2 linked regions of the Drosophila melanogaster genome follow. The protein of the gene in region 1 interacts with the protein of each later gene in a pairwise test. Each region holds a gene or a part of one and is shown on either strand. Other genes may lie near its edges.

Region 1 (6,728 bases):
TTACTACTGGCCGTGTCAGCCATCCTTTTCTGTGCTGCAGTGGCTCTGCCCTCAAGACTAACCAAATCCGAGGAGGATTGGCTGGAGCAGATGCTGACGCTGAGCGAAGACAGCGGTGAACTGCAGGACCTGGACGAGAGCACCGGAATCCATATTATCAAACGATCTGCCAAGGATGCCAGCAGCTCATCTGAGGAGCATAATGACAAAGCCAAAGACAAGGCCAAGAACAAGGCGGACAGCTCCGGCGATTCCTCCTCCGAGGAAAAGACAACACCAGCTGCGGTAGAAGAAACAACTACGGAGCACACTGCTAGGAAACGCAGAAGCACGGAGGATACGATGGTGCGATCCTTTTGCCAGTCACTGAAAGAATTCGATATTAAGAATTTCAATCTACAATCTGCATATGACCGGGCCGTAAGCTTTTGTAAGCAAAGGGAGTCTAGACGAAGACGCCAGGCTGCCGATCAGAAATCCAGCGATGCGCCGGACCTGGATGCCCAGGCTGAGAAGGAACTGGACGAGCAGATGGCGCAGGCTGTGGCGGAGCTTTTGAAGGACAAGGACAACACCAGCATCGAAGACTACGCCCAGGGATGCGAGGTCATGGAGGTTAGCTCCAAAGAGGCCAACGAGGCCACCTATGCCGAATGATTTTGAATAAACATAAATAACATTATAGCTTATGTTTTCGTAGCCATATTACATTTTTACTATTATTATAATGACTGAGTCATCAAAACAAGAGATTAGGCTATTGCCTATGTATTATTTACTTTTTAACTTATGGGGTGTGTTTATTCAAGTTTACGAGTAACACGTATAAATATCAGCAACAAGAAATATTTTCCTCTTCTAATAATTAATTTTGCCATATTATTTAACTATTACAATTTTCATTACTTGAAATGCATTTGGAAATTAGCTCACCTAACATTGAAACTTAGCTTATTTAATTGTGTAAGTCAAATTATGCATTACGTGTCTGTTTTAAGGGACTAAGTGCGTCTGTTTCAATCTACATGCATTATAAAGAGTCATTTCTGAAACCCACTATCTGCCTGACTCAATTGAATTTGAGTCTATAATCACATAATCGCCGAGGAGGCGATAGCACATTTGTTGAGGCTTCGCCGGTAACGTGTGCAGCTGTCCAGAATCAGTTCGAAAAAATCAGTCTCAGCGAGAAGAACCCACCCATCAAGCTAGTGGAATAGTGGAGTTTACCAGGATATACAAAGATTACCGGGATGCGTCGATCTGTTTTGCTGTTCCTAATCTCCGCCATTGTGCTGAGCGCGGCACTTCCTTTGCCCCCAATTTGGGAGGACTCCGAATCGGATTCCGAGTATAATGATTATAGTGAGCTATCGAAGCAGCAGAATCTGAAGAGCAGTATCGAGAAAACTATCAGCAAGCGAGCTACCAAGGACACTAGTAACAGCACGGAAGATGATGAGCTCACGGATGGTAGCAATGAGAATGTTAACGATAAAATGGACAGCTCAATGGAATCGTCTTCTATGCTGATCATGGCATCCGAGGAAGAATCGGAGTCCGCTGTCAGAAGGCGCAGGTCTGGTGAGAGGAACAGGAATATAGGGCTCCTGGCCACGATTTGCCCAAATGCTGATTTCAGAGATTTGGAGAACGGTATTACCCTAGATTCTAGAATTGAAATAAGGGATATGTATGCGATTTGTAAAACTCTACCAGAGTCCGGTCGTCTACAGCAATACAACCGTTCATAAATTAAATAAAAGCAAAGAAGAATTCTAAAAATTTAAAAATTCTTCTGAAATTTGTTTCCCTCAGTCATGAAACCCCTGTCTCATTAGTCATCTACCTCATTATCAGTAAAAACCATCCTTATCACGACAGCAGTCGTCAAAGTTGTCTGACCTCAGAGCAAAAATGTCAGTTTCATGTTTGTTTACGCTTTTGAATTTATGATTTACTCATGAGAACTAAAAAAAGGTCTGCATTCTTGAAGTGATTTTAGAACGCTTTGGTAACCAATATCTTGTTAATAAGGATTTAGAAATATAAAATTTTTTTTTGTAATATTACCAACAAAATCTTTTGGAGAATTTCGATCGATACTTATAACCAACTTTGAAACTTCTCTTTGAAACTGAAGCTAGGGTATCTGTTAGTCGAGGAAATTGACCACAGCATGTTCTTTAGTTTCCGTACGAAAAACTATGCATATATGCTAAACGAATTGTTTTTTTTTGTTTTCTGAAGTCTTTTTTGTGATTCGTGTCATCTGCATTTTGCGCCCTTTCCGACGTTTGGGATATTGAAAAATTTTCTCGAAAAAATCGCCTACGGTTTTCTCCCTTTGTTTGTCACCATTTGTTGTTGTTGCAGCTTTGCGGCTGATAAGGCACGTTTTGTTCACTCTTTTATGGCCACGTCAAAGAAATGTGTACGAACTATTCCTTAAACATGCATATCACACACATGAGCATATCCACATTTGTAGTATTTCCTGTGCTAATCGAAATTTCGTTGTCAGGTGTGTGCCACTTTTTTGGGGCCTTTCTCCGAAAATTTCCCACACATGGAACTCTGATTTCCATTGTTGTTTATTTGACAAGTCGAATTCTTTGCCTGTGAGCTTGGCACGTTCAAGTTATTTATTCTGCTTTAAACTTGGCAGTTGACGTGCATCACAAAGATGTTGGGTATGGACATGAACTGCGCAAAGGCTTTAAAATATGATTTTATGGTAGAGGTAAATTAAATTAACCATTTCTTAGTTGATAATAATTGGGATGTTACTCGTGAATTAATTACTTTATTCGTTTAAAAGTATATAACACGTAAGGGAAAGCGTTTCCGAAACTACATAGTATACATATTCTTGATCAGGATCACTAGCATATCCGGACATGTCCGTATGTCCATCTGTCTGTCCGCATGAACGCTATGATCTCGGGAACTATAAAAGCTTGAATTTTCAAATTGGTATTTGAGTAGTGATTTTATAAATAAATTTATAAGGTATCATCTGTTACTTTCATCTCCAGTTCCTTTTCTTGATTGAATATAAAACTAGCTTGCATGCGTAGCTTTAATTAATACTCGTTGTTGAGCAATGAATAATAACTTAATAACAGTGGAAAGAGAAAAAACAGCTGATGCTTTGACTATGAATACCAAATGCACTTGTGAATTTAAACTTGTATATTTGAGAAGATCTTTAATCAAAAGCAAAAAACGCTTCGACTTGGCAAAAAAAAAAAGCAACAAAGAATGCAACAGTTTTGCATCGTCACATTATCTAAAAAAAAAAAGGAAAAACAGACCACGAGGAGCAGAGGAAAAGCGCGAGAGAGAATGGGGAAAATAGAAAAAATGCAGCCACAAAGGAAAACTTCTCGAAAATTATTTTAGTTGCCCAAGTCGAGTGCAGTCGTGTGGAAGTGAAAGAGAAGCCACAAAATACAATAAAAAAAAAAGAAAAACAAAAGAACCAGGCAGCAGGCATAAAAAAAGCGTTAAATACACTTTCCATAATTATCCCTCATAGTCGTGCTTATTCTTGGTTATTCAACAATTTCGGAGTTTCCGTACTTTTCGCCACTTTGCGGGCCAAGATCCAATGAGATTGGGGTTGTGCAATGCGTGACTGCTGATTATATAAGTCGCACAATTACCCAAAGTTCAGGCATTCAACTAGTTCCTTCACTTTCAATAGAAAGTTCGAAAGTAAGCGAGTTTCAGGTTGTGTTGAAAAGCCGGCAAAAGTCGAGTAATATTTTTGCACAGGCGGAATTTTGACAGGCAAACGCAAACAAGCAATCGGAAAAAAGAGCAACTAAAACTTTCGCAGCGCTAAAAAAAAGAGCAATATAAAAGTGGAAAGGTAGAATAGAAAAGCAAGAGTGCCGCCGGCAAGAGTGCGAATTTATAAATAAAACCAGCGGATAGCAGGAAGAGATCCGGTATCTCTTCGCCAGAGAACGGGTAAACAAAGCGATGCCGGAACAACTGGGTCTGCTATGGTCCGTGCCGGAGTCCAAGTCAAAGGCGCCCATCATCAAGGTGTCCTGCGGCATCGGCGATACGGACGGCTATCCCGCCTTCGATGTCGACTCCGATGCGTATGCCACCAAGGACGACAGCCGGTGGGGATTCCTCATAACCGGCGGAGCCGAGTTCCATATGCCGCTGACAGTCTTCCAGGTGAGTTGCGTGGTTAAGCTTGAGGTCGGCATGGGGGTGGTTCACCCTTGGGAACGGGACCATCTGGTGCCTGGCCAAGAATTATATTGATACAGTCAATCTCGGGCCATTGGAAATTTTAGCTAAGGCACTTAAGCTGAACTGGATAACCGGAAACCACCAGGAAAGGGAAAAATACAATAGAAATTTGCAATATAAACCAATTCCTCATTTCACTTCAAACTTATTAAAGTTACACCGCATGAAGATAATTTATAACATGGTTGATAACTAGTGGTATTAAATAGTATGCGTTTGCTTAGTGGTGTTTATTTCAAGTTAAAAAATGATTTAGATACATCGTAGGCTTAATTGATTTTTAAGATTTTAAGAAGAGTTTTGAGAAGAGAAAACCTGCTGACTAAAATCTTTTTTCTATTTTTCAATTATTTGAACAATATACGTAATGTATAGAATTTTTATTGATAATCAACTGGCTTGAGTTACTCTTGCAGTAGTATCTACTGTAGCTTCTTTCCGCTGCAACTGCTGTTTCGTCATTGTTTCCAATTTTTGGTTGCGAGCCAGAATGACAACAACCCAACCCACCAGCCCACGTCAAATTTGAATTCCAATTATGCTATGACGAAGTCGCATCGAATGCAAATTGGCTGCCGCCAAATAGAAGCGGGCATTTTATTGTTTCTTCCATCTGCACCTGCCGCGCCCCGTCTTCGGTCTTCGTGTTCGGTCTTCAGTGCTCAGTCTTCGGTCTTCAAGTCTTTTCTAGCCTTTTAGTTGGCGTGTCTTGTCTCCGCCTGTTTTGCTCTTTTTGGCCCACTTCAGTCTCGAGTGAATGTACAATATTTGGGTTAGCCGAACACCCCTTCCCATCAAACATAAAATAAATACGCTGGTTGTCATAAAAGATATTTGTCGAAGCAGATATACAATCGAATATCGGATCAATAAAAGTATTTTTACACGCATTACAACTGGAGAAATCCCATGATTATGGGTATTGGAAATCAAAGTCATAACCATTTTGTATTTGTATTATAAACAACACTTATAAAAATGTTACGCACTGTACCGTATATCTATGCAAAATGATTTCCCATAAGGCAAAACTATTAGTATTGCTTTTGGCTTTTGTGCAACATTTTACTTTTGACGTTTTGCGTTTAGTCTTAAAGAAAAATATCAATTGTTGTTTTGTTTGTTTTATTTTTGAATTCAAGTCATTTTGAGGGTAACATTTGAAGAGTTTGATGAACTTAATGCCTAGTTTGGCGTAGCTAAACTTGCTCTTTAAACATTAAATTCTCACATATGTAATATACTTCTGAACCGTATTTATTTCATCTATTTTTATATTTTTCAAGGGATGTCTATTATAGGGTACACGCCAAGTTGATTATGCTTTCTTTAAAAACACCGCATTGTGTCTGTTTTCTTTTAGATGTTATTGTTTTTTCATTATTTTTGGGCCATTTTCTTTTGGGAGCAGCCGTTCAGTCAGCTCATCTCGTATACATGTCATCTGTATCTGTCGTTCGCGCATCGCTTATATTTTCTGAACCTAAACTCAAAGTACGCAGATATCCATTCAATTGCGCCTCGAAACTCGCACGGTACGGTTTTTGCTGCTCTTTCATCTGCTGAAAGTGAAAGGAGCTGCCACGATTTCGCTTTCACTTACGTTTTCGGTATCGGCATCGACATCGCAACGCTCTCGATTTCAATCGACATCCTTGTGGTCCTTGCAGGTTACCCCCAACGGCCTGGCCGACAAAGCGGGCATTCGCCTGGGCGACATCATACTCGAGATCAACGAGGAGGACGCCTCGCAGCTGACGCTGTCCCAGGCCCACGAGAAAATCAACTCGACACCCAAGAAGATACATTTCCTGCTGCGCAAGTAGGTTGCCCCAGATGCACTTGGCCTGCGGTGCGTCTGGGAGGCTTTCAGGCCGTTTAACTTACGTAATGAGCAAACTACTGTCTGCTGTCCATCTCTATAACCCCGCAGCATGGAGGAGGACGATCCCATGGGCCAGTTTGAGGCTGGGGAGGAGAAGTCGATTGTGATGCGGGTTCCAAAGCCTTTGCCGCCGCCCAGTGGTGAGTACTTACTTTTTGCATGGCTTCCCAAATCAGTTCATTCGCCTACAGCTCCATCCCATTCCTTTATTACTGACATTAAAGTGTAGTGAAAATGTTTTACTTTCATTAATAACCCAAGTGCAATTAATAATATGTGATGTGTGTTTGATAAGTTACTAAGAAAATATCACTTAATGCTAGAAAAATATATATCTAAGTTAAAAGATGATTCAGTCAGCTTATAGTTATTTTCAATTAAGATTAAATAAACTTCCATAAATAATGAAATACAATACATTGAATGATACTTAGTAATAGGAGAATGAAAAATAAAGAAACTCATTTACAGCCTCTCTTCTAACTGCTTTATAAGAATTCACTTGTCTTAAATGTATAACGTTCGTATCAGAATTAATTAACAATTAATGTAAATATGTAGTCATTAG
Region 2 (6,562 bases), on another chromosome or scaffold:
CCACAAGGAATTCCCCCGACGGGCATCAGAAAATCCCTCCAAAACGCAGCGCAACGAGCTGTAGATTGCCTCAATTGTGATTAAATGCATTTATTTTGCTTTATGCCAGACCCAAAATAAATCGGTATTATACAAAAGGATTGCATTTTCAATTTGAATTTATTTAAGTGTGACCAAATGATTTCGCTTCTGTTCCGCTAACAGATAAGAGCTGACTGCTGCATAATCGGCTATTTTATCGGCTAACTTACATTACTATTTGTTTTTGTTTACATTTTTCAACCGGCTTTAAAAGTTCGTAATAATTTATAGTTTTATGCGTTAGCTTAAACCCGAGGTCTAATAAAAATTTAACATAATGGAGGCCGAGGTGGCCAGCTTCGTAGAGCACGAACTTAATGATGTGGATTTGAAATCCTGGAGATCTATCAAGGAAAGTTTAGATAGCTTTCTAACCATTCTGCCCACGATATTGGGATTTGTTCTTTCCCGCCTGCTCTGCGGACACCTGCCGATGCTATCCACGAGGAGATTTCTCCTGGAGTTGTTTCTGATCGGATTACCCACCGTGATATTGATTACAGTGGGGAGTGCCTATAGCTACACATACTCCCTGGTGGTTTCCTTAGCTGTTCTGGTCTATATTTATGGAAATGTCGCTCCCAATCCTCCAAACTTCGTGTATAAGGTCGGTAAGAGACCCATAGTCTTCACTCTGCTGAGAGCAACTGCCTACAGTGGAACCTGTGCCGCCATTCTGGCTGTGGATTTCCCTTCGTATCCTACGGATTACCGGAAAAGCCGGACTTTCGGAGCAGCTGTCATGGATATGGGAATTGGGCTTTTTGTGGTGACCATGGGATTGGTTTCACATCGAGCACGGAGCATCACTGATCTTAAGAAACTAAGGAGATCTGTTATTCCGTTGCTGGTCCTAGGGCTTGCTCGCACCATTGTCATCACTTTGATCGACTATCACCAGGATGAGACGGAATACGGCCGCCATTTGAATGCCTTCTTCATACTGGGATTCACGAAATTGCTGGGCAGCTGCTATAGTCTGTTGGTAAACTCTGATGAACAGCTCCTGGCACTTGCAATAGGTAGGTCCAGAAAAAATAATAATGCAATAAATTTTAATTTCCTACGATTTTAGGTTTGCTATTCCTTCACGAAGTGGTGCTCCAACTGGGACTCTCCGAATTCGTCATGTCTTCTGCACCCCATGAGGGGTTTTTCAGTGCCAATCGGGAAGGCTTAAGTTCCCTACACGGATGTGTGGCTCTCTATTTGCTCAGCATTTACTTTGCCAAGTGGTATACTTCCCGTGATAGCCTGACTTATCAAGGACTAATAAGAAAGTTAAAGAGTATTCTTTTCGTGGCCATTCTCTGTTGGAAATTGGTTTTTATAAGTTCTTTTCTAACGGGCATAGCACGTGTAACTTTTAGTTTTGGCTATGTAATCTGGATTTTCGCTGTCTCCCTAAGCCTAATTGTGATCTACGCGTTCTTCTTTGAGCTGAAACTCGTACGGCCAGATATTTGTTCTAAAAAGTCAATTAGAGATGACGGGCAAAAGAACATATCCTTGCCCACCTTTGTTGAAAGTCTGAACATGAACGGTCTGACTCACTTCATGATCTCCAATTTCCTTACGGGAATGGTCAACATGTCCCTGAACCCGGGTCATCGAAGTGATCTGGAGTCTGTTGTTATACTGTCCATCTATATGTTTGTTTGTGCTGGAGTGGTCTTCCTTATGCTAAAAAAAGGCATACGTGTAGCTTAGTATTTGTTGTATAAATTAAATAGCAAAATACAAAGTACGGGTGAAAGTTTATTTTTAACTGACCACAGGCTAAAAAGTATACAAAACGAGTACCATCTTCCTAAGGACCACAAATAGACTCAAAGGGCATGATGCAACCATTCGGCATGACTAGAAAAAGGATGATGGGTGCCTCCGACCCGATCTTAGAGGGAGAGTTGTCTACATCGGAATCCTTGTACACCTCGTACACCATGCACCCATCGTTGCCACGAATCAAACGGGTCCACAACCACTTTTGGTCCTTGTGTCCTTGGGCAATCTGGGATGTAAGCTTGTCTTTCAGCTGTTGACAGGCCACCGAGCAGGTGGAAATTGATCGGCTTATCTGTTCCCTTATCGTGGCGCTGCCCGCCTTATTTCTCAACGGAATATCCTCCGCCGGGTGATCGAAGTCCACCCTGGGAGTACGCTGGCGGGGACAACAGGCAGCGGAACTAAGCCGACTCGCGGTCTTGAAGCAGGAAGATTTCGGAGTATCCATTGGACTGCAGGGCACTAGTGGAGCTTTTGGACTGGCGCAGCATCTCGTTGGCTTGGGATAACAACAGATAGTCGACGGCTTGGAGCAGCATGTACTCCAGGCCGATGAAGATGGATAAGCCGAGCTGCTTCCGGAACTGCAAGGGCTTGGTGCACAGGGTGCTGGTGGTGGGCAGGATTCCTTCTTAAAAGCTGATCCTACGGGTATATTTTATCTATGGACGCATTTATATTACTTCCTTCGATTACTGACCTTCATTCGACAACTCCAGCAATGGAATTATTTTCGTGGCGCCCGAAAGATAGAGGATGCGGTCCAGGATCGTCATGATGACCTCATCTGGATGCGGGCCCAGCATGTCGAAGAGTGGAGCCTGCGGCTTCTTCCCCAATCTGAGACCCGTTGGACACTCACAACGCGTCGTCTGAGTGGCACAACAGGATTTCATGGTTTCGTCTGCTAGTGTTGGTATAAATAAACACCCAATTTTTCCAAATGATATTCTCCCAAAAAGCCGGACCGGAAGTAAGAGATATTTGAGTGCTTAGCATGGACCTGCTTTGTCAGGAGCCATGGGCAGATGTCAAAGGTGCGATATCCGGCTTAGGCACACGGCGAAGGCGTCACAAAAGATAAGATTTCTATTAAGGAAATGACTGGAATTGCTTGCATTGTCCCTGGGCATCCAGGATGAGCACAGATCCCGAACGGCTGGGCAAGGACATTTAATTTAACGGCGCAAACAAAGACCAAATCAAAGTTCAGCCTCCGGGGGAAGCTAAGCTCACAAGCGACCAGGGTTAAAGGACCGCGCAAATGACCAGCAATGTGCTTCTTATTGTCAAAGGAAAGGACATCGAAAGGAGGTTTAACTATACGAAAACCTATCTACAAACCTTAGAGTTTTAAGTTAACATTTTCATTTCGTGACTTAGATACCTTGATGAAGATTAATTAAGATCAAGATTACTAATGATAAGATTCCTCAAAAATTCCTCACTGAAAAGGGTATCAGGCGTTCGCATTGCCGAACATACGTCTTTGGAATTTTTTCTATCCGACTCGAATGTAATTACGGCAACAGTTTCCGCTGCTGATGCGTAGCCTCTGCTCGCCATTCGACTTTGATGCGCTTTTAATGTCATATCCTGGCCAAGGACGAGGGCGTCGCCGGTGAATCTTATCTGATTTGGGCCAGCACAAATGCAATTTCCGTCCGCCAACCTTTCAACCCTTCCTGCCCACAAGCTATGCAGAGTTAATAGCTGGGAACCAAATATAATCATATAGTGTACCAGGAGGCGTGTCCTGGAAAAAGCAACAGGATGAGGCAAAACAGGAGAGCGGGAAGCACGAGCACCTGTTACCATAGGGGGTGGCTTTTTGGCTTTGATGACAGATTATTTTCATTAGCAAAAGAAGCGAATTGTTGTCCACTTTTGGGGAGAGTCGAATTATGAGCGTTAATTATTATGTTCATGTTTTTCCCCAGCATGTAGAACATGACATCCTGATTGATGTGGCCAACAATCAGGTAGAGAATTGGTTTTTCTGCTTACCGCATCTTTTTTCGAGCTGCCAATTTGCTGACGAGTTCCTTTTTTCGACTGCTCGTCAAATCGGATTCCATTCAGCGGGGCTTTCATAAAAAGAAATAAATAAAAACCCAAATATATCTGTGCATATGCATGAGTGTGTCTGCTGCGTGAAGGACTAAGCTCCTGGGCCCTGGGGAAATCGCTTAAGCCGTTCATAATGAATATCATGTGTACATGTGGGTGTGTGTGTCCATGTGTGTGGCAGTGTGGTGACTAAGCTGCAGGACCTTTTGCCAAGCGGCAAATGTGCGGAGAATGTGCAATATATGTCTGAACTATAGCTCCTCTGTGGCAGGACACCTACATGGTTCTGTTTAAAGGACTTAAATTCAGTTTTAATTCAGTTTCCCTAGCATTAAGCAATATATAGTTGCTTGCGATTGAATCGCCTCCTTCCATGCATTCTGAATTTTCTTACAATTTCCATAGAACTTTTCAAAGTTCCACATCAAAAACTGATTCGTTATGGCTTCCTCGAGCGTTTCTCCGCCTTCAATCCTTCACAGCAGCCCACTGCGTTACCACAGAAGTTCGTGACTTGGGCTGGGGCACAGACGCCCTAACAACTTCAGGCACATGGCAAACAAAATGCTTATCGAACAACAGTTTTTATCGGAGCTTATGCGTCATGGCAGCAGGCAGAGGAAGCCCCATTCCACAGGTCCTTTGAAATGCTTTTAGTGAGCGAAATTGCGCAATTGTGGAGCAATCAATGCGAAGCCAAAAAAAGTGTTGAGCAAATCGAAAGGAATCCAGGACAGAGAACGAAAGAGAAGTGCTTGGCATATACCAACTATCATTGAAAATAGATCATATTTTTAAAAACATTAAAACAACAGTTGAAATGCAACCCTATCATCTTATTTTAGCTTGCATGCTCTAAGACATCCTTTTTAGTGATATAAAAATACTAGCTATTTGTGTTTTAGTTAATTTCCCTTTAATTTATTTAGCTTGCTATAATTTTCGACGTTTTTCCAGTGTGAAAACCCAGCGATGAATAGACAGACAATCGGTTGCCATGCTGACGCACTCGGTCTGGTCTGGTTGCCATCAAAATTGCGTTGCTGTTAAATCGTGCGGAAGCTGATATGATTATGGCCTTCGGAAGTGCACTGCCATGGTCGCCAGTGGAAACGCATTGCCTAGTTGCATTCTCAACGAGTGCAGCAATTAGCAAGTATTTTTGGAAGTGCCCCAAAGGAGGAGTCCTTTTTTGGGCAATCGCATTAAGTGATTCCGTGTCCTAAGCACTCCACTCAGTGCCCATGGTTATGGGACCCAGGCATTAAGAAGATTAATTCGCAAAGTCGCTTGTTGTTATTTTTTCACTTGGCAAATCTCAGATAACGCTATGCATCATTGTGTCAAAGATTTGACAAATCTTTGGGAGGCCAACAAAAAAAAAAGGAAAAAATAAGGAACTGGAACAATTTCACATTTCTCAAGTTGAAATGCGAAACCAGCCTTCGGTTTTCCCCCATCGATTCGGGCTTTTCTAAAAGGAATCATTAAATAAGAGAAGTTTGCTCGGGGAAGTTGCCCCCGTTTTACAGGAAAACAAATGTAAGGAGCTTGATAAACTCACACAAAGAGCGAAAACATTGCGAAAAAATCGCAATAAAAAGCCGAGACAGGACATTGCCCCTCAGCTCAGTGCGCATTTAATAAAGCCTCCCAAATGGAATGACTTGCCTCAACTCCCCCATCACTTCTGCCTCATTTTTTTTTGTTGTTGTTGCCGCACAGCAAAGTCAGCAGCGTAACCGCAACACGTTAACGGTTTCGGTTTCACTTTGTGATTTACAACAACAGAAATCGAGGATTGTATGTCCCAACCCCTCGTCAACGTCTGCCATTCCTTTTTTTTTCGTCCTGCGTCCTGGCGCGCTCATGTGTGAAAAGGTACTTTGGGAGTTCCCTCAGACGGCAATCGTTCTCCCCGGGATCTCCGTCTTCTGGCTGTTGCACTTGCCTAGGATGGGATATCTATATCTGAGAGATATGAACACCCTTTCAGATACCAGTATACAAATTACCCTCCCAGGGGAATCGATTGATTTTAGCCGATTAAGTTGGTATCGCCAGATCAGATTTTGATTTCATTTGTACCTTTGATTTGAAAAAGCAATTTTCTAAATTCCCATAAAAGCTTCTGTCTGGTAAATACAGAAATTTAATAACTTTATAGATACAACTGGCTCAGAAAACAACCGGCGATGTTAAAATTCAAAATCGGTAGGTGGCCATTTCCAAGTCATTAAATTCATTTAGAATGTCAGAGTTAAGCGAACGAAACTTTTCCACGTGCCGCACATAGATAAAGATATAGATGGCAACAGGGGCGCTCGCGTTGTCCCAACAACCTGGAAGAGAAGGGAAGGGCAGGACAGCACCCATCCTTAACCTTGGACCTTCCACCCCCGAATCCCTTGGCATTCTTCGAGTGTTATCGGGCGGACAGCATCATGCATATATTAAGCGTAAATTGCCTTGGCATTCATTCCGAAGAGCTAATAGAAATGTCTGCTAGTTAATTTGGCGTCATGAAGTTGGCTGACTTTTTTTTTCTGGAAGTCGGTTGCTCAGGAGATGAACATTCTTTGAAGTGGTTAGGGCAGAATGAAGAACCTTGTTTCAGAAAACGGTC

Evidence for each region.
Region 2: the proteins of CG42319 (region 1) and CG3557 interact in a two-hybrid assay, tested with the Drosophila melanogaster proteins (one large-scale study listed by BioGRID).

Annotation. Positions count from the first base shown.
Region 1 is NT_033778.4:13,256,698-13,263,425, forward strand, and holds the start of CG42319 (uncharacterized protein), read left to right. Parts: upstream 1-3,403; 5' UTR 3,404-3,720; intron 3,721-3,780; 5' UTR 3,781-3,990; coding exon 3,991-4,197; intron 4,198-5,787; exon of another isoform or gene 5,788-5,945; coding exon 5,946-6,097; intron 6,098-6,208; coding exon 6,209-6,300; intron 6,301-6,728. Other genes in the region: CG4716 (uncharacterized protein), read left to right, coding at 1-657; CG10799 (uncharacterized protein), read left to right, coding at 1,254-1,754.
Region 2 is NT_033779.5:2,382,941-2,389,502, forward strand, and holds CG3557 (uncharacterized protein), read right to left. Parts: upstream 2,853-6,562; 5' UTR 2,763-2,852; coding exon 2,567-2,762; intron 2,512-2,566; coding exon 1,892-2,511; 3' UTR 1,821-1,891; downstream 1-1,820. Other genes in the region: Eogt (EGF-domain O-GlcNAc transferase), read left to right, coding at 1-64; PIG-Wa (phosphatidylinositol glycan anchor biosynthesis class W a), read left to right, coding at 359-1,103, 1,157-1,791.